2 linked regions of the Caenorhabditis elegans genome follow. The protein of the gene in region 2 purifies or fractionates together with the protein of the main gene of each other region. This does not show direct contact. Each region holds a gene or a part of one and is shown on either strand. Other genes may lie near its edges. The genes, in order: sft-4 and vit-2.

Region 1 (8,772 bases), 680 kb from region 2:
GTGTAGTATTTGTTGGCTCCATTCCCCATCCCATTTTATTCGTCTGCTGTACAACTGTATTTTTGAGTGATGTCAAATTGGAAAATAGTTTGTCCTGCATTGTAAAGAATCCTTTTGCAGCTTGCGATTCGATACTTTGCTCCGCTTGTACCGGTTGAACATTCATCAGATCGAGTATATCCGTGAAATCAGTTTTTGCAGCTAGTTTTGGTTGTTTCTGCATTGCTAGTTTCATGTATTCCTCAATTTTTGCAGCAGTAATTCGTTCATCCGGATTGGGTGTCAGACACTTTGCTGTAAGTTGGGTTTATATTTCTTTATTTATTATTTTTACGCCCAGCAGAAAACTCCTTACCAATTAAATCTGCAAACGCTGATAACTGGTTTTGCTGAACCGGTGGTGGCTTCTTGTACTTTCCGTTGATAATTGCCAGCGCTGATCCATCAAATGGATGCTCTCCAAACGCAACAAAATAGATCAAACACCCCATTGCCCAGTTGTCTTGTTGTTTTCCGATAGGCCAATTTGAGTAGACATCACAAACTTCTGGGGATCGGGTGATAGGTGTTGTGTATTTGAACATCTGAAAATTAGATTTCAATTTCATTTAAAATTTATTTCGGAATGACCTCTTCCTGAACCGCTAATCTTTCGGAATTTGATAGTGGTGCCATCTCGATGGACTTTGTTGTAGCACTTCCAAAATCGCATAGTTTTAGTTTTCCTGAAAAATAGTTTTAGCTAAAATCAGCAACGAAAGACCAACCATTTCCGTTTATAAGCAAATTTTCTGCTTTGATATCTCGGTGGATGGCGCCGACGGAATGCAAATATACTAGGGCTCTTGTTGTAAAGTAGATTATGCGAACGACAAAGTCAATTGAGACTTCTTTGTACTTGAGAAGCACATCCGCAATTGAAACTGAAATAAAATTTAGTTATATACATTAAATTGTATGTACATTAAAGGTGGAGTACCATAATCGGAGACTTTGCTTTTTTAGACCCAAAATGGCCCAAAACTATCCAGTTTTGTAATGAGACATTCTGAAAATTGAAAAAAAACTGACTGAAAAACATCTCAATCAACGAATCAACAAGTAATAAATTAGTAATAACAAATTACACAAAATTCGGTAGGTTTGGGCCATTTTGCGTCTTTTTTCAGACAAAATCGCCGATTTCTTTCGGTACTCCACTTTAACAATATACTTTTTGAGAGTGAGTTTGCAACAAAAAAAATTCAACCCACATTTGCAATATTCCATTGATATTTTGTACTCTTTCACGGACCGATTTGAACTTCTGCTTTCAGCTGACGCATCAAACAGTTGAATAATATTTTCGTGTTGGAGCTTCTTCATCATATCAATTTCATTATCAATATCCTTCGTCGCGGCTGCATCGTGGCTCAGCATGATCTTCACGGCGACTTGTTTTCCCTTGGTGTTGGTCGCAAGAAACACCGTTCCAAAACCGCCTGCAAAACATAAGCTCTCTTCGAAAATTGTCATTTATGGCCACTAACCTTTGGCTATTACCTTTTCCACTCGATAATTGTTTCCGTTAATGCTGAATGTCTGACCACGATCGTAGAGCTCACTCTGCTCACTGATTCCTGCGCCTCGACCGACAGATTGAATCACACCAAGAGCGCGGGCAAATGCCATCTTGGAAATTGCAGATTTATAGTAGAATGAGTGCATTAAAAATAATAAAATGTGATAGTTTTATGAGCGGTGCATCAATATGAAAAAGGAAAAAAATATATGAAAAAGTATAAGACCAGGGATAAAAATGTACAATTTACAATTTAATTCAAAGGTCTCAGGTGGTATCTATAACATAATTTTTTTCAAAATTAAGAATTGGACTTATGAAGAACATTCTTTTCTCAATTTACATATCTTGCTTCTCAAAAATTATTCTAAATTTGCAAATGATGTTTTTACACGTTTCAATCAATAAGAAATACGCTTAAGCCTTCCTATCTTTAAAGCTTCATCTGCATAGAATATAAAGTACACATTTCCATTAGCGCAAGACTAACGGCAAGAAATTCACATTATTTGTCAGGAATAGGATAGATTCCATCTCGCATCTACTGAAATGTACTCTCGTGGTCGAAAAATCCTGAGAGAAGCGGAGTATTTGGGCAGCAGCAGCGAAAGTGGGGTGTCGGTTGGCAACGGAGGATGTGTTGTTGGCAAAATTGAGCTAATTTGCTTGGAGCGAGTTTGAAGAAAGCCAATAATTTAAATGATCATTGATCAAAAATAATTGATGTTAAAAAAAAAGTAGAAACTAACACAATGTTCTTCAATTTTAAATAGAAAAGTTCATATCACATCTATTGCTTTTTTAATCGTTGCGAAAATTTTCAATGTTTTGTTGAACAAGACAATTAAAACTTTCTTTTATAAGAAAACGGGTTAAAGGTTTCATTTAATTTTTACAGCAAACTGAAAATTTTTTGCAATGACAAAAAACGATTTTTTTCAGTGCAAAACTTATTGTTTGTCAGTGCAGCATTTATTGCAAGACTGTGAATGTTAGTGTACTGATTTCTGTTTAAAAATAAATTCACGTTGTAATAAATTAGGAAAATCAATGAAAAAACGCAAATGTTGCATACAATGCGCCCTTTTTTGGTGTGGGGGAACGCACACGAAACGCGCCAAGTGGTGGCTGCTGACGCATTTGCTACCTCACAACATGTAACAACGTGGAACCAGTTGCAGCTCTCGTAAAAACAAACATCTTTTGTGATTTTTCGCTCAACCAGTTTTACCGAAAACTTTATGTAACATTACTTTTATCTTTTTTTGCGTTTTTTCTGTAGTCTTTCGATTATCTTCAACTTCTAATGTATTTTAAATCATAATTCATTCATAAAAATGGTTGAATTCAATGGCACCTACTTGGCAGGTGGTGATACTCGGGAGCGGTGATATACTCTCTTTCTCCTTCCTTTTCGAGAGTGTCATTTCTATTTTCAAACCACAACCACCACATCAGCTCGCGTGCGGCTGCGACGCGGTCTCTCTACATTTCGTGTGCCTCCTCTTCCTCCATTTGCCCCTTTCGGTTCAGTTCCCCTTCTTTTCTCGTCGCTTATGTTTTCGTTTTCATTTGTCCGGAGAAAACCTGTTTAGGAAAGAGTCGTTCACATAAACGCCCGTCACTTATGCCCGTTGACATCCAAACTCTTACTTTTGAACCGCTTTTTTCAACCAGTTTAAGGTTTTTTCCCTAGCTTAGTTTTTACACAACTGTAGCGGAAGTGATAAAGAATAATTTCCATTCTCTATTGTACATTACTCATTTACCCAATGACTTCGCTGTACTATTTCCGCAAGTTCAGTATCAATTCTGTGTATACGATGACGTGACGCGGTGTATTCATTGCCAGTGTATTCAGCGAAAGCTGACGTCTTTTTGTCAAACTTTAAAAACAAAATAGATAACCCAACGTTTGCTCAAAATACACTTAAAACCCAGCTTTAAAACGTGTATCATTAAAGATTTAAAAATTTTCAATTCCGTTCCAAATATCCACCATTCATCGGCGCGGCCATCTGTTGGCCAGTTTGATAAACAAAAAGTCGTGACCGCCTTGTGTGTTGACATTGTGCAGCTTTGACGGTTTTCCTCCTACCTGGAGAGATGTTATGTTTGGCGACGATTGTTCTCATTTTAATTTCCATTTTTCATATGTCATCCGATTTTTTGTGTGTGTACTTGTTGTTAAATACGTCATCCGCGGTGGCTCATTGGAAATTCAGAAAACCCAGAAAATGGGAAATTTACGTAGGCTGCTTGCGCCAACAAAGGCAATAAATGTCTTCTCTACTACTCTCGATATTTGATAGCATCTAGACTAGTTAGCTCTTCGTTCATTAAATTAATGCGCCACTGCCATAGTATTTACAACCTTTTTGATGAGAGGTTATCTCTTCTCATGTTATCTCATCTTGTCTGATTACATTTTCATTCAATCCGATCTGTCCCTCTATTATTCTCAATGAACACAAAAGATATATTAAATCGAAACAGTTGTGTGTAGTGTTTCGGAAAAGATACTATTGATCCGTTGACCTCTAATACTGGCGTCAATCGTAAGAGAGACGCAGACAGCAATACACATCTTTCGTAAAGTGCACATGCCACGTGTTCCATTTTGTAGTCATTCATTCAATCCACCATCTAATCCTTCGATTCTTCTCTTCCACTCATTCTCTTCCAGCATTTTTGTTCGTCGTCACCGCCCGTCTCGTTTTTTATCAACTTCTTATCATCTTTCCGATTTTTTTCTTAATTTACACTACACTTTTCCAAACCTATTTTTTCAGCTCTTGGAAAATGAACCAGTTCCGGGCTCCAGGTGGTCAGAACGAAATGCTGGCGAAAGCAGAAGACGCCGCTGAAGATGTACGTAATACCTCTAAACTATTATATGAACTATGAACTTTAAACTTGCGAATTTCAGTTCTTCCGCAAAACAAGGACCTACCTACCCCACATTGCTCGCCTCTGCCTCGTCTCCACATTCCTTGAAGATGGAATCCGTATGTACTTCCAATGGGATGATCAAAAACAGTTCATGCAAGAGTCTTGGTCTTGCGGTTGGTTCATCGCAACTTTGTTCGTCATCTACAACTTCTTCGGACAGTTCATCCCGGTTTTAATGATCATGCTCCGCAAGAAGGTGTTGGTCGCATGTGGAATTCTTGCCAGCATTGTCATTCTCCAAACCATCGCTTACCATATTCTCTGGGACTTGAAGTTCTTGGCCAGGTAATCATTTGTTTCCTTTGAACTCGCAATAAACGTAAAATTTCAGAAACATTGCCGTTGGTGGAGGACTTTTGCTCCTTCTTGCCGAGACACAGGAAGAGAAGGCTTCCCTGTTCGCCGGAGTTCCAACAATGGGAGACTCGAACAAGCCAAAATCGTACATGCTTCTTGCCGGACGTGTTCTTCTTATCTTCATGTTCATGTCTTTGATGCATTTTGAGATGTCCTTCATGCAAGTTTTGGAGATTGTTGTTGGATTTGCTCTCATCACTCTCGTCTCAATTGGTTACAAGACAAAGCTTTCCGCGATTGTTCTTGTCATCTGGCTCTTCGGACTTAACCTTTGGCTTAATGCTTGGTAAGTATTTGATGTGGAAACGAAACTATACAATCTGAAATTATCACAACATGATCGGGATAGCTCAGTCGGTACTGGTGGCCGCTAGCAATCATGAGGTCACTGGTTCAAGTGCTCCCTCTAGATTCTGGATTATCAGCCACAGTCCCGGGCTCAAGTGTGACTCGAACTAAAGCTCACTGGGTGTATAACTAGCCAGTGCAATTGACACCCAGATCCGCAGTGAAGAACAGATCACTCTTAATGATGTTATTCAAGTAGTGTCGGAAAATTAAAAAGTATAGAAAAATGACGTCACAACTGTATTGAAATACACAAAACTTGTATTTTAATACAGCTGTGACGTCAAAAATGTATTAAAATACATTTCGCAAAATTACTTGAATAACCACTTTAATCAAAACAAAAAAACCAATTATAACAATTTGACGCTTGATTAACCATAATTGAAACATTGATTTTTCAGGTGGACCATTCCTTCCGACCGCTTCTACAGAGACTTCATGAAGTACGATTTCTTCCAAACCATGTCCGTCATTGGAGGACTTCTCCTTGTCATTGCCTACGGACCAGGAGGAGTGTCAGTCGATGACTACAAGAAAAGATGGTAGATACCCCATTAACACCAGTACTTATACGCATTTCTATGTCAAATCATTGCATTACACTCACTCACCCCGATAAATTTACCTGGATTGTTTATATAATTTATGAATCTGTTTCGATTTTTTCGATATTTCCTTTAATCAATATATTTAGAGTAGAACGTTTTCCCTCGGTTTCCCATCCAATGCTTCTTGTCGTAATGTTACAACTTCATATCTATTTCCTTTTATTTTTTTTTGTCATTTTCTTCCTTTCCCTAAAACTTCATGGACTATATGGGTTGTTTTCCAATGAAACTCTCCCTACAAACTTCTATTTTTCTCACACGAATCACAACTAAAACAGTCATTTTTCCACCACTTTCCTTTACTTTCTAATCGGCCTATCCCAATTTTCTTCTGGTAGTTTTGTTCCCGTAAAGAATAAACATTTTTCTGTCAGACAATCATTTTATTTGTTAAAGTTTTCTAATCACCCGAACAGTGAAAATAATTTAGCTGCTTGAAAAAGAAGACCCATTGGTAATACAATCAAAATAGAATTAACATGAGACGAAGAAACCGTATATCAAAAACCAGAAAGTGCTTGTAAGATGAAAAAGGCAGTCATCAAAATGATGCACATAGTTTCAAAGTAAATAAGTAGTAGAAATAAGAAAATTTTCGAATTTAGAACAAAACGGGAAAATTTTTTCACGCATCATTGAAATGTTCAGCCACATAAGACGTCCGTTTCACGGGTTGACGTGGATTGACAAGTGGCTTTCCATGTTTATCCAAGAATTTCTCGAGCACCAAGCCTCCGCTGTTACTCTCCACTTCATCTTCCGATATTCGACATTCGGCAATGATTTTGTCAATCACGTTGTCTGCATCGAATCTGAAAATGATTGAAAAATTAGGAAAAGAAATGCTCAGAATCAATATTTGACCAATTTTCAATTATTTTTATGGGACTCAATTCAAACATGAAACAGTAGAGTAGAGGAATTTGGGTCATTTCACTAATCTTCTTAACATGAATCAAAAAGGTCAAACTCGCCATGACTCTTTTTTTTTAATGTTTCAAAAAAGTTTCACCTTACCTGGAGTGTTGAATTTTTTGAGCAGATCGATCTTGACTAAATCGTCGTAGTTGGCAGGTTGGATGTTGTGGTGGATGTATTACTCGTCGTTCGACAACTGGTTCGTCGACTTGCGAGTTGCTAGCGGCGGATGAACTTTCTGAATAATTTTGGTCAAATTTTCACAAAAAAAGGAATTTGAACAAAACAGTTGTATTGTTTTATCATTCAACACGTAAATAAATTATAATCTCACTGTTGTTGAATTTTAGGCTCAGAATGCGTCGGGGAAATTATTGAAACTGACATTATGGGTCTCATAATTTAATATTTATAACATAAAAACAAGTAAAAATGTATTAAGTTTGAGGAGATAATTTCAAACTTCCGCGGGAGTCAATTGTTAACGTTTTAAGCGTCAGTTGCCAATTTATTTGTTTTCTTTAATTTAATAGTATTTTCAGACATATATAATTTTAACAGACTGCAATGATATGAAAAGCTTTTTGCAACTGCTAACGGAATACTCATGTATTTTTAAGTGAAATAGAGAGTGTTTTCAGTTTTACGTGAACTCCTCACATCTACAGCTCCTGCATTAAGCAAAAATAGAAATAACCTTAGAGTACATCGATTCACGAATCTCGAAATAATTACCTAGAACATCTACATTGGAAAGCTTCGGATGAGACGATGTTCCTTCTTCGGAATCAGTTTCATCGTCTGCTCGAAAACCATCTTGATCAATAGCTCCATCTTGTCGTGGACCGAACGTTGACAGGCGAGGCCTAAAGTAATCATGTTCATTAAACGGAAAATTATATGTGAACATACACTCTGAAGAATGGGTCTGCACTTTGATGTGTCATTGCAACTTTGATGCACACTTTGGAGTTATCCAATCTTTGATTGCTAGTGTAGCCGTTTAAAAGATAGGTCCTCGAGATTCCTTCAACACCGGAAGCTGCATATTCGGAGAGGTTGATATCGACAAAACCGAGCTTGTAATACGATTTTCCTCCTTTTTGTTCCTGAAAATGGGATAAAAGTTGAAGATAAATGGGGAATAAGTTTAGAATGTTGTTTTTTTAAATGAAAATTTGTATTTTTAAATAAACATTATTTCATATTGTGAGTATATTTTAGTAACCCCAATTTATTTCCAAATTCTCCTTACTTTTCTTATAGAAACTCGGCACAGACACTTTTCCAGTGTTCCCGAAGTTTGATCACATGGAATCCGACAGCAGAATACAAATCGTGTGTTGAATGAGGCGCTATGGTTTTTCACCTGAATTAAATAAATTTTCACTATGGCTATTTAAAAAAAAAGAAGTAACCGATAAATCATTTTGATCTTATTACACTCAAATAGGACGTAAATAACACAACAAAACTTCACAGAACCTTTCTCGATTTTTTGTGGATGTTTAAAATCGAATTTTAGCTAAAACTCTAATTTTGACCATTTTTTTCGTGTCACAGCGACCGAAGATATGTTTTATTTCGTAATAGTATTCTTTACCGCTGGGACTCAGATGTTGACAAAAATAGAGATTTTAGCTAAAATTAGATAGTGTTGGAAATTTTGAATTGCGATAATGAAATTTTCGAGTAACGTTTGAGTAGTCTCGTTACAAATCCCGATTTTTCTACCATTTGAAATATAATAAAATACAAATCTTTATCGGATACTCCTGATTTAATGAATGAGTGAATTTTTAAATAAAAAACCTACTTCAACTCGTTCCGTAGCTTCTTCAAACGATCCTCCATCTAGTAACCGCATTTTTCCAAAAACAGTGGCATTCACTAGTGGAACATCTGATAGTTGACATACCTGAAAATTTTATAAATTAATTTATATAAATTATATAAAGTTTACATTATATTTAAAAAAAACAAATCTTAACTCACTTGTAAATCCACTGAAAACTTGACTGTTTT
Region 2 (12,072 bases):
CATATTTATTGTTGATATCTTGAAATTGACAACAAAGGAGAGTTTTTTATCGAGAAAAAAGTGTAAAACAGCTGTTCTATCAGCTTTCCAAAATTCCTCCCAAAAGAGGGAAATTTTCAGCTGGGCTAATGTAGTTAATCGATCTTAAAGTCATTTCAATCCTTTTTTCAAAAACTTTCATTTGAAAATATATGTCATAATTTGAAATTATTTTACATTTTACATTTCGTGGCCGTAGATTTCTTTTTTTTTCAATTCAAGTTCAGATTGTTGAAATTTTCTGAACAAACGGGACAACTTTTGAAAAACTCTGATAAAACATTTTCAAATTTTTTATTGCAATTAGAAAAGAAAATTTTGTCATATTTCTATCATTATAAGAAGAATAAATTCAATTTTAATGCCCCAACTGTTGCGATACTGACAAGATGGTAAAGTTTGAGATTTTAGAACTTAGCCAAACTTTTGAACAAACGACTCATTACGAAATTCGGCAATTTTGGGTGGAAAAGGTAAAGTCTCATATTTTGGTCCCTCACCTTTAAATAAAATCTCAAATAAGAAATCCAGAAGTTACAGGTAACTTTGTCTTTTCCAGATGAAAATGAGAGATTCACAAATAATGCAAAATATTAAATTTTTGGATTTTTAAAGTAAATAAATTTGTACAATTCAAAACCAAAGAAATGTTTCATAAACTTTTAAACGAGAGAAATTTGAATAGTTTGACGCTTCATAACTGGCTCTGTGTCCACGTACGTTTCGGATCGAAAAACCTTTTTCAGGGCCTAGATTGATGTACAATTGTTATAAAAGCTTTCAAAATCTAAGATACAATCTGAGAAAAAATCCCTGAAAGAATCCCACTTTTCTCGGCGTATAAGCCTATCTAAGCTTTTTTGAAAAGTGGAAACTTTGGCAAAGTCATTCTATTCCCATTCTCAAAAAAAAACTTTCAGCAATTTTAAAAAACCTTCCTGATAAGTATCTTAACAATTAGAGGCTATTTTGCAGAAGCACTAAAACTTTTTCTTTAAAAAAATGTTTTAAGATTTTCAATTCTAAATTAAAAAAAAACAATACTAAAAACACTTCAAGTAAAAATTTTTATGTATTTAATTATTAAATACAAATTAGAAAAAAAAACTCACCGTGAGAGCAATGGTGTACGCTCAAGAGATTCCATTTCAAATTCCATGATGATTTTTGTATTCCGAAAACTAAAAATTAAAACAAGGAAATTCTAGAGCTCATTTTTGCACCAACCCATTAAGACTCTAAAAAGACAAGGCCAATTCCTGCAATGCATTAAATCAGACACGAAATGGCAATATTACAAAATCACTTTTTCTTTATTGCTATACAAGCAATCCTAGGCAATTCCAATGAAACCAGTCAATTTTATTAATATGTAGAAGAGACCCGAATTAGGTTCCTTGTATTCAATGTAAGTACTCACAATCTGAAAAAAATGTTTTGCAAGTGTTGTGTCCTTTCAATTCTTTCGTCAATATATTAGTGCACAAAAAAGTGCTCCTCGAAGAAGTTTTTTCCACCAAAAAAGAAGATTGGCAGGACAGATTTTTTTCTAATCCTTGCATGCATTATTTTTTATCCCTTCTTTTGTCAAAAGAACTTCAACTCATACACGTTTCTATGACACAAGCATTGTGGACTATCGTGCAGGTACACAGATTCTCATTAATCTCTCATGCCTGACTGTTTCTGTAATCAATTTTTCTAGTTGAAAAGATTTCGACACTACTCGCTTTTTGCCATGACAATTGTGCATTTTTTGCTTAAGGTATGTAATTCAGTAATTCAAGAATATTCATTTTACGTGGTGATTGTCACGATTTTGTTTTATATTGTTTTCAAAAATTCAATAATAATTCCTGTTGCCAATTGTTCATATTTTTTCTGAATAAAATCTCAAAATCCTCTTTGTTTTGTTCCAGTCATCTTTTTTCTGACATCCTTGTCTCTTACCAACAAGACCCCGCCTTCTGGAGCTCCGCCTAAAATAAGCGATCTGCGTTCGAACATCAGATTGCTCTTTTCATTTCGTTCCTTTTTTTGTTGGTTTTGAACCTTTTTCTTTAAATTTTAATATTTCCTTTTCTAAAGGTCTACCAAAATCTACAAAATCTCAGTTCCAGAAAATGTCCGAAGACGATTCCTCTCCGATAAGAATGCCTGTACGAGTCAAAAATATATTCGAGCTTGCGATTCCCATTCAAGAGCTTCCGCCGGATCCAGATGCAGTCGCAATGTCGCCCGATACATTTCGTTTGAAAGAGAAAGAAATGGACGATTTGCTTATGAATGCAAAATGCGAAGATGGAACTTCCATGGCATCCGTGGCAAAATACATACCATCAAAAGCCACACTGAAGCGAATGGAAGAAGAGGCGGCTGCAGCGAAGAAAACATTACTTGCTCGGAAAGCTGCAAAGATAGCGGAGCTGGAAGCAAGAATTGAACAATTACGGCGAGACTCGTTCGATGACACCAGTATTGATGAAACGACCGACCTTGATCAGCTAACGATTTCCCGCCCAACGGCTGTTTTTGCGGAAACTGGAAATATCTCACTAGATGGCACAAGCCAGACGGTCCAAAGAGCATCGATGTCCTCGCCGGGTAGTGTCACAGTGGTTTCATCTCCGACGATTGGTGTTTTGGCGGCAGCCCCTACAGCGATTGGTGCGTTGATGGGAGCATCTCCTGGCGTTGGAGCTTTGGTCGCTGCAGCTCTTAATCCTGTTCAACAAAACCCTTCGGAGAAAGAGGATCCTGATGGTGGTTCTCTTAGTACTGTTGGTTATAATTTCCGGTTCTTTCAAAGCATAGACTAGCTTTTTTCAGGACTTTCACGTTGTACACGACGAACTGAAACACGCTATGGCATTGGACAAATCTATCAAACGGCACTGCTAGCGACGCTATTTGTATAAATATTTCCTTCATTTCAATTTTTTTTCCAATTTTCAGTAATGCAATTTTTTTAAAAAGAATAAAACAATAGTTCAAAGTGAAAATTTTATTTAGAAAATGTCAAAAGACTACAATCAAACAGATGTGAATGATCAATTTACATAAAAGTGCCGGTCTAGCTTAATCAATAAGCGACGCAGGCGGTTGGGACCTTGACAGACTCAACGAAAGAGACTGGGTAGTCGTCAAGTTGGAGTGGCTGTTGGCGAGACTCCTTCAAGAGACGGCTGGCATCTCTGTTGTGACGTTGCAAGCAGGTGAAGCGGATCTTTCTCTGTTGTTGCTGCTCGACCTCGTATCCGCGGCGGCACTCGGCTACTGGCTCAACGGAGAAGCAGATGCGGTGGGAGAACTCCTTGATTTGTGTCTTCTCGACAAGATCTTAAATTAAAAATTATCGATATGAAATTTGAAGAAATTGTATCTTACCGGATTTCTTCTGGCTTCTCTGGTTCTTCTGGCTCTTCTTGGTGTTTTCCTGCTCGTAATCGTAGGTCTCCTCAGATGAATACTCATCAGATTGCTCCTCGTCTCTCTCGTACTTTCTGTAGTTCTTCTTCTCGGAAAGACGCTCCTCCTCGGCTTCGCACTCCTCGTTCTTGAGAAGGTATGAGCGGTGAAACTCTTCGATGTCTTCGGTTTCGGTGTTATCGGAAGTGTAGAACTCGTTGGTGGACTGAAAATTTTTGTTATAACTCAATATAAATTTCTACACTGAACTCACCTCATCATCATTGTTTCCGCAAAGTCCGCAAAGTTGATTCTTGCGGCTGTAGGATGGAAGTTGGGTCTTGATGGTGTATCCGTCAAAGCGAACCTCTCCTTCTGGAAGCTCAATAACAATAGCGGACTCTCCGAGTCTCTCGATTTGGTAAGCAGAATAATCCTCAGATTGGATCTTCTTTCCGTCAACCTTAACGCGGATCTCCTCGTTCTGGAGTTGGGCAACAATTTCTTGTTCTCCACGGATAACCTTGATGATCATCTCTTCAGAATTCTTTTCAGTCTTCTTGGAGAGAACAGCGAAAGTTGGCTCCTCGGAGCAATCCTTGGCGATAAGAGAGTAGCAGGTGGTGAGTGGAGTGTTGTAAAGGACATCATCGAAAGTGCGGATTTGGTTCTTTTGCACCTTGCAGACAGATCCGGAAGCCTCAGTAAGTTGGTGCTTGACGGAACGTTGAGCAATGGATGGAAGGTAGACACGTGGAACTTGAACGTTTTTGAGCTCAATGCGCTCCATTGGGGATTGCATGGTGATGTTGACGTATTGGCGGGACATTGGCTCAACTGTGAGTTGGACGACGACGCGATCATTCTCGTTGTTCTCTGGGCGGCTCGAGACAGTCCAGTAGTTGTAGGTCTTAACAAGATCGAAATAACGGGCAAGAACTTGTTCGGTTTCACGGGTGAGCTTGTACTCAGCAACAGCGTTGATCTGGTTAAGACGGGCGGCCTTGATCAAAAGCTCGTACTCTGGCATTCCATTGAATTGACGGTCCATGTTACGCTCGTATTTCTTCTGTTCTTTGGATTGTTGGAGTTGAGCATTGACGGTGACTTCGCTCTTCTTCTGGGATCCCCAGGTAGAGGTAAGAGAGAGTTGAACCTCACGGTGGGGTTGATCGCGGAGTTGACGGAGGGATGATGGCATCTCTGGGCGGACAACAAGAAGTTGGGAGCGGAGAGTCCATTCCTTGGTTTCCTCAAGGATTGGGGAGCGGCGGATTTCAACTTCCCATTGGCACATGCGGACTTGCTTGTCACAGACGGTGGTGAGCTCGGTGTTCATGGTGTAGTCACGTGGGGCCTCAAGTTTCAAGGAGATGACGGATTTGTATCCTTGCTCCTTCTGGATGTTCTTGACCATCTTGTTGAAGTACTCACGGCGGCTCTCGGTGTTCTCTTGTTCGAGCTCGAACTCCTTTTCGAAGATCTTGTTGTACTTGATTTGGGAGAGTTCGGTCTTCTCGAGTTGTCCAACGGTGAGACGGGCAGTGAATTCGGCTGGACGGTTCTTGTTCTCAACGGAAACCTCGAAGTCTTGCTCGGCAAGAAGCCAGTTTTCAAGAGTGTGTTGGTTGAGGATGTTTCCGCGGGTGGAGACTTCAAGTCCGAGGAAGTTGAAGACTTTCTCAATTTCCTGAGTCTTTTGTTGCCATTGTGGAACAACGACGGTTCTCTCTTCAGCCTCAATGTATTCGAACTTCGAGAATCCTGGGAAACGAAGGAAGACAACTGGGCGAGTGGTGAGGGAGACGATCGATTTTTGGTTCTCTGGAACGACAACCTTGTAGACGATTTCGAAGTTTCTCTTCATTCCAGCGACGGCTTGAATCTTGATTGGGGTGTAGGCGCGGACGGATTGAACGCTCTTGACTCCTTGCTCGAAGAGTGGGGTGAACATTCTCATCTCGTAGACGTGGGTGGCAGCAACAGATGGGCGAGCCTCAACGGTCAAACGAAGTTCCGTTCCCTCGAGTTCAAGAGAGAATTGTCCTTCAGCCGAGATGACGGTTGGGATCTTTCCAGAGATGGTGAGTGGAAGCCCAAGAGTTGTTGGGAATTTGCGGATAGCTTCGTAGAAGTAAGCGGCATGGTGCGTCTCGAACTCGAGCTCTTGGTTGAGAAGACGGCGGATTTCGCTGAACTGAACCTTTCCGTTGCTGGTGAACTTCTCGATAAGATTCTCAACAAGTTGTCTGTCAATTGGAAGGAAGGCGTAGTCCATGTCCTTGTAACGAAGGTAGACCATGGCGAAGGCATCCTTCTCGGTGTAGGTAGCTGGGCGAGCACGGATGTTCATTTTCTGGGCAAGTTCCTTAAGAAGCTTGATTCCAGTTTGAATACGGCGTCCGCGAACAACAGTGGTCGACTCCTTCTCGAGGCTTTCGAGTTTCTCAAGAGCCATCTGAACATATTTGTCCATGTGCTGCTGAGAGAATCCGATTTGGGCAAAGTACTTGTTCCAGTTTCCTCCGAAGACGGCATCAAGAGAAGCGTGAAGATCCTTTGGCAAGAAAGAGTTCTTCTCGAAGATAGCGGCAAAGTCAAATTGAGCTCCAGAGAAGGAGTTTTGAAGGAAGAGTGGAAGTTGAGCGTAGGAGGAAGCGATCATTTGTTCTTGTGGTTGATAACGAGTGAAGGAAAGAACCTTTGAGCAAACGATAGCAACACGTTGGTAACATGGGTTGGTGGACATGGCAAAGTGACGGATCATCTGGTGGGTAAGAGCAGCAACTTGTTGGTTGGTCTCCTTCTCCATTTGGGAGACAACTTGGACGAGGAGGGACTCTTCTGGGCGGGTATGCATCATTCTCCACAAAGCAAGCATGCGGATCTCTGGCTCGTATTGTCTGTTCTTGTAGATTGGGAGGAGTACCTTTTGGATCTTGCGTGGCATGGTGTCCTTAAGAAGTCTGAGGGCATCAATGGCTTCCTTGCGGACTGGGAGTGGTTGGCGCTTATCAACAATGATCTCGTTGAGTTGGTTGACGGAGATGTCGAGTCCAGCGTTTCCGATGGTCTTGAGGGCCAAAATCTTCTCGTAGGTGGTCTCAGCATCCTTGTATTGTTGCATGAATACGCGGAGGAACTTCTCCTTGAGCTCACGCTTGTCCTCACGAACGAGTGGACGGATGTTCTTGTAGTCAACAATTCCGCGGACAACTGATCCAGCGGCGAGCCAAGCAGCTTGACGGACAACCAGGTTGTTCTTGGCAACGCGAGACTCGGCGAACTTGATGAGTGCCTCAGCGATGCTTTGGGATGGGAATGGTGTCTCTTGGATGGTCTTAAGAATTTGACCGAGTGGGAGAATGTCCTCGTTTTCCATGTGAACAAGGATGTGTTGAATTGTGTTCTTGGTTCCAGCAATAGCAAGAGCGTGCTCCATCAATGATTGGATCTAAATATTGCAAGGTATAGGATATAATGAAACTGAAATTTTTTACCTTCTTGTCAGCCTTGACGTAAAGAGTCTCGTGGATCTCCTTAAGTTGGGAGGTGGAGGTGGTGCGGAAAATGCGGACAAGACGAGCAAGGAAGTGGGAGGTCTCTGGCATGTTGTTCTCGACTTCTTGGATTTGCTCAGTGATAGTCTTGATCAAGTGCATCTTCTTGTCGAGTGGGAACTTCTCGAATGGGGCGAACTCAGCCTTGTCTCCATTCTTGAAGAAGTCCTCAACGAGTTGCTCCCAACGGGAAGAGTAGATGATGCTTTCCTTCTCTCCATTGACCTGAAAGAATATTTTTCTGAGAACATACTGTAAAAATTATAGATTATCGTACCTTCTTGATGTGGCTCTTGATGGAGTGGTTCTCCTCAAGAACGAGCTTTGAGCGGGTTTCAGTCTTCATTACTTCTTGTCCGTTGACGTTGACAGTGTAAAGGGAGCGGACCTCGGATTCCTTAAGCTCTTCGTTCTCCAAAACGTAGGTGTAGACAGTTTGTGGGCGGATGAGCTCGGTGTCCTTCTCGCATTCTGGGCACTCGGAAGAGTAACGAAGTCCGTAAGCGATCTCGGAACGTTCGGTGCACTTATCGAAGTTGATGGACTTGGTGATGATGGTCTTCTTCTGCTCACGGATGACAGTGTAGGCGACTTGGCAGTCTCCTTCAAGGGTCTTCTCGTTGGTGAAGAAAGAAGTGTTTTCCTCAGATTGTTCCTCCTTGTCATAAGAAGATTCGATCTTCTCAATCTCGTTTCTTGGAGCAATTGGGTTGAAAGAGATCATGTTGACAACAGCTCTCTTCATGTTCTTTGACCATTCAGCGTCTTCCTTGTCAAATTGGAGCTCGGAGATAAGTCCATTTCTGAGTTGAGCACGGAGTGGGAGTTCGAGCATTTGCTTGTACTCCTCGGAGAGCTCGCGCTGCTCCATGGAGTTCAAGGAAGGCATCTGCTCGGACTCTGGGAGGTGGGAAGCGGCCATGCGGATGTTGACAAGTTGAAGGTGGATGTAGCGGTCATCGACGGCTTGAATGCGGGCACGTGCAGAAATACGGGATTGGGAAAGCTCAGAGGAAGCGGATGGGAGTCCGGAAAGGACGAGGCCATCGAACTTGTAGTGATAGTCAGTTTTTGGCTCGAAGGTGCGCTCGAAAGCTGGAGAGGAGGCGAGGGCCAAGGCCACGAGAGAGGCGATGATGATCGACCTCATGGCTGAACCGTGATTGGACTGTTTTCAGTGCACCTTTATATACGGCTAAAGATTGACATATGTTCGATTGACTTCATATGGAAGTTATAGCGTTTTAGCGCATTGATAAGCTCATTGATGGACACATTCAAGCATTCGCTCCGCTTTGTGACCCTTATCAGAAACAAATTGCAACATTCGGTGAGAGCCCTGTCTATTAATTTTGAATGAGGGGTTCTAAACATATAACTAAATTGTTTCAAGTAATACAGTTTGATCACACTGCACTTTGATACTCATGACTTTTTAACGATGAGGTGATTCTGGACATGATGAAACTCAGCTAGCACATGGTATTTAAAACAAAGTCATTACTTTTTTACTTGCTAGTTGCATTGTGACCGACAGGATAGAAAAATCTGCAAAAAAAACTTGGTAAAATTGTATTGTAGGCACCTAAAACGCAACCAGTTTTCCTCAATTGGGCACACAGGATCACAAAAACTAAAACTGAATCCAAAAAAATATGATAGAACTAACAAATGTTAAAACTTAAAACAACTAAACATTAAAAACCCAATTATTCACAAACTTCACCAGATGTTTTGACATTATTCTAACTTAACATTAATTGTACGTCTAGCAAAAATCTGATTAGTTGGAAATCCGCGGCATCCCTAAAACTTTTTCATTTTCCAGTGTTCTGCGTATTATTCGGTTGTCAGTAATTCCCAAATCTGGACTATAAGGTCTCACAAACGTCCGGTACTGTGATTGTGTGTTAATTGTTTCTAAATTAACTTGAATTCACCATTATTTATTTGTAACTTATAAGAAATCTGTTTTGTTTGTATTTTTTTTTTACTTCCCGTTCAGAAAGTCGACTATTTTTGATCAAGTACTTTATGCCACGAAAACCAATATCACGCTAGTTGTTGAAATCGACAACGCCGCTGGGGTGGTCGCTGCGCACTTGGCGAATCCGCAACACAGGAGAAAAGATTGGATAGTCAAATGACCCAGAAATGTCCGTGGAGGAATATAGCAGTCTCGGCGGTGTACGACGCGACGGAATTCGGATGTAGGACAGAGACTCCTAGTAAGAAGGAGGAGGAGGGGGGTCCTTTCCCGAAAAACACTCCCTATTCTTTCTTCCTTCCCTTTCGGTTATCACTCCACACTTGTTGATGTCACAACCGATCCGGACATTCAACCCGCACCGATTGCCTGTGTCTCCATTTCCAAGGAGAAGTGTATCTCCGATATATACAACTTTCATATTTATTTCAAATGTTTGAACTATACAGTTTATGATATTTTTGGTTCAAATGGTTTAATTCCAAAAACGGAACCATTAGTTAATACGTTTTTGTTGTTCCTGTTTGAATTTTTTGAGCCTTTTCCTATCAATTACTTTTTGAAATCTAACAGAAATTTTGAAACCAAATAACTTTTTCATAGTCCTCTCAGATTTGCTTCGACGTCTCAGCTTTTCACAATACTCATAGAATAAGTAATATAATTTATCAAAAGAAACAGTTGTGATAATAATTAATGTGTTTCAACGGTATTTGTAAAATATCTGTAGTTTATGTTTGTAAAACAATTTTGTATATATGTTTCGGCTCACTTAAGCTTTCTAGGCCAATTTCAGGCGTTTTAGACTCATTTGTAGGCTTATCGGGCTGTTAGGTAGGATAGTCCCTATAAAATAAGTTGAATAATGTTTTGGAATAAAAAACGAAAGTTTGGAAAAAAACATTTTGAGGTGTATATGTTTTGCGTCGTCTTTAAGTTTCATTGTTTTTTGTTACAAAAATTTTAATTCATAAACTTTCTAAGCAATCCTTATCTTCGATCGTTGGGATTAGAAAGGAAACACTCCTAGACGATTACTTTCGCCGATTCACCCACTTCTCATTTTCCTTCATATCCCCCACTCCGTCAGTTTCGTAATCCCTTACAAATTTCCATCGTCACTATGACCCCAATAACGCGTTGCCTTCTGATCTGATCTTTCCCCCATTTTTTTTTCATCGTCAATCCGAAACATGTAAGAAATAGATAGGATTCGTTGACACCGGTATTCAGGAATTTCTATTGGATGTGAAGCGGTGAATAGAATTGTGGAAGCAAAACCAATTGTGCATATCGTCCCCTGATCCGATCTCGGTGTGGGAGACGAACATCTTGCCCGAATCTCGAGACTTTGTGAATTTTATTTCATTATTACGAGTTTTCTTTTTTCTTCTTCCCTGCGGATAAATGTCAGCAAGCTGACTATATGCAATCATTCATTAACACATTCGGACTCATACATTCTTCCGAACACTCACACTCCTAATAGATCATTTGTCCTTTTCACGGGCCGCGGCATTCTTGTTATTTACCCAAAAGTCGGATCGGATGTCTAATTGAGTTAATCGGTTGCAAAGCGATAGCCGTTCCGAGTGACCTTCACTTATACAACGGGGGTGACAGGAATGACTCCATTCCGAAAGTCGCCAAGTCTCCAAGTCTCCTAGCAACTTCTCACCCGCCTCATTTGGCTCGTCGACTATCTCCATTGCAATCTTTTTTTCCTAAAGGAACTATAACAGGATGAGTTCGATGGCGTGTTAATGATACTTTCTCCGCGAAATAGTCAGTTTATGTGTCTACCGTCAGGTCCAGTATGTTCCGTTTGGTACCTGTCCACTTTTCTCACTTTCCTGTCCTTTTTCATGAATCATACAAAAAGAACAAGATTGTTTCGGAGAACACGTTTTTCGGTAAAGAGTGATTGGCAATCAGTTGTGTTTTCGATATCTCTTATAAATAAATCTCGCATTAAAATTTTTCTGAAAATCTTTCCTATACATATCCTACACTCATAGCCTTACTAACATGTTCGAAATTTGTTCAATCTTTAAAATTCTGTACAATTTAACATTGTTTGAATATTACCTAAGATGCACCTGAATTTGGAAGTAAATCATATAATTGTACCACACCTCACTACTACATTTTAAAACGCTATATCTGTGTTCATTTTTTTAAATATCAAAAAATAATAAACTAATCAATATAATTAGAAATGATACATATTTTGCCAATTATCTATTGTTGTATACGAAAAAACGACAACTGAAACATAAGCTGTCAAAATAAAGCAAATGAAACAATACTGATAGAGGAAATACATATGGTTTAGATCATAATTTCAGCATAAAATTGGAAGCTAATGAAACATCTCCATTTGAAAAAGCAGTCTATCACACCAGACAAAAAAAAATTGCCTAATTATTTCTTTAAAGTTGTTGCTTGTACATCAAGTGTGCAATAATGTTGCCAAAAGTGTTCCAAAACGTCGTCGCAGAAAACCTCTCTAGTATAAAATACGCCACGTCGAGTGGCCAAGTGCAAGTCCAGCTTTTGCTAAAGTTATTAGAGAAAGAGAAATCCAGTGACTGTCCACGCCCGCCCTTTCTTTTTCTCTCCCACACCCTATGGAAAAGGAGAAGCGCTGCCCGGTTTTCGTTCGGTTTGTCGTTTTCCCTTGTTTATGTCTAAGAAATCTTCAGATACTATTTTAAGTTTCTGTAGGTTATTTTATTAGGTAATGTTTTATCATAAACTATGGCATTTTTGTTACAATTTTCTTCGAAAAGTTACGTTACGTTATCGTGATTTTATCTTTTACAGTTACAATAATTATCAAAAGTTTGATCTTTGTTATACTGTAATAGTTGTTCCTTACACTTTATGCATATTATATATATACTAACTATTTGGATTCATCCGTCGCTTTTCATACTTTTTGTTATTGTTTCTGCATCGTCCACTTTGACGGAGGGAAAAGAAGAAGGGAACGATAATAATCTTATTTCATATTATCCTCTTCATTCGATGATTTATCTTTCATCTCACTTCATATCCTGACATTTTCATATTCTG

Evidence for each region.
Region 1: the proteins of vit-2 (region 2) and sft-4 purify together in Caenorhabditis elegans (affinity purification with western blotting; one study listed by BioGRID). This does not show direct contact.

What each region holds. Positions count from the first base shown.
Region 1 is NC_003284.9:5,776,304-5,785,075, reverse strand, and holds sft-4 (Surfeit locus protein 4 homolog), read left to right. Parts: upstream 1-4,353; 5' UTR 4,354-4,363; coding exon 4,364-4,432; intron 4,433-4,490; coding exon 4,491-4,798; intron 4,799-4,844; coding exon 4,845-5,156; intron 5,157-5,622; coding exon 5,623-5,767; 3' UTR 5,768-6,201; downstream 6,202-8,772. Other genes in the region: gakh-1 (Protein kinase domain-containing protein), read right to left, coding at 1-294, 356-584, 631-725, 768-923, 1,254-1,481, 1,530-1,671; sym-3 (C2 NT-type domain-containing protein), read right to left, coding at 6,455-6,641, 6,847-6,985, 7,483-7,613, 7,660-7,856, 8,003-8,116, 8,564-8,665, 8,743-8,772. UniProt on the Caenorhabditis elegans protein: Endoplasmic reticulum cargo receptor that mediates the export of the yolk proteins from intestinal cells by recruiting cargos into COPII vesicles to facilitate their secretion.
Region 2 is NC_003284.9:5,097,128-5,109,199, reverse strand, and holds vit-2 (Vitellogenin-2), read right to left. Parts: upstream 8,169-12,072; 5' UTR 8,158-8,168; coding exon 7,285-8,157; intron 7,233-7,284; coding exon 6,948-7,232; intron 6,902-6,947; coding exon 3,722-6,901; intron 3,674-3,721; coding exon 3,427-3,673; intron 3,379-3,426; coding exon 3,122-3,378; 3' UTR 3,031-3,121; downstream 1-3,030. Other genes in the region: C42D8.9 (CUPID domain-containing protein), read left to right, coding at 2,163-2,819, 2,869-2,940. UniProt on the Caenorhabditis elegans protein: Precursor of the egg-yolk proteins that are sources of nutrients during embryonic development. Together with other vitellogenins, may play a role in modulating life-span, acting via induction of autophagy and lysosomal lipolysis.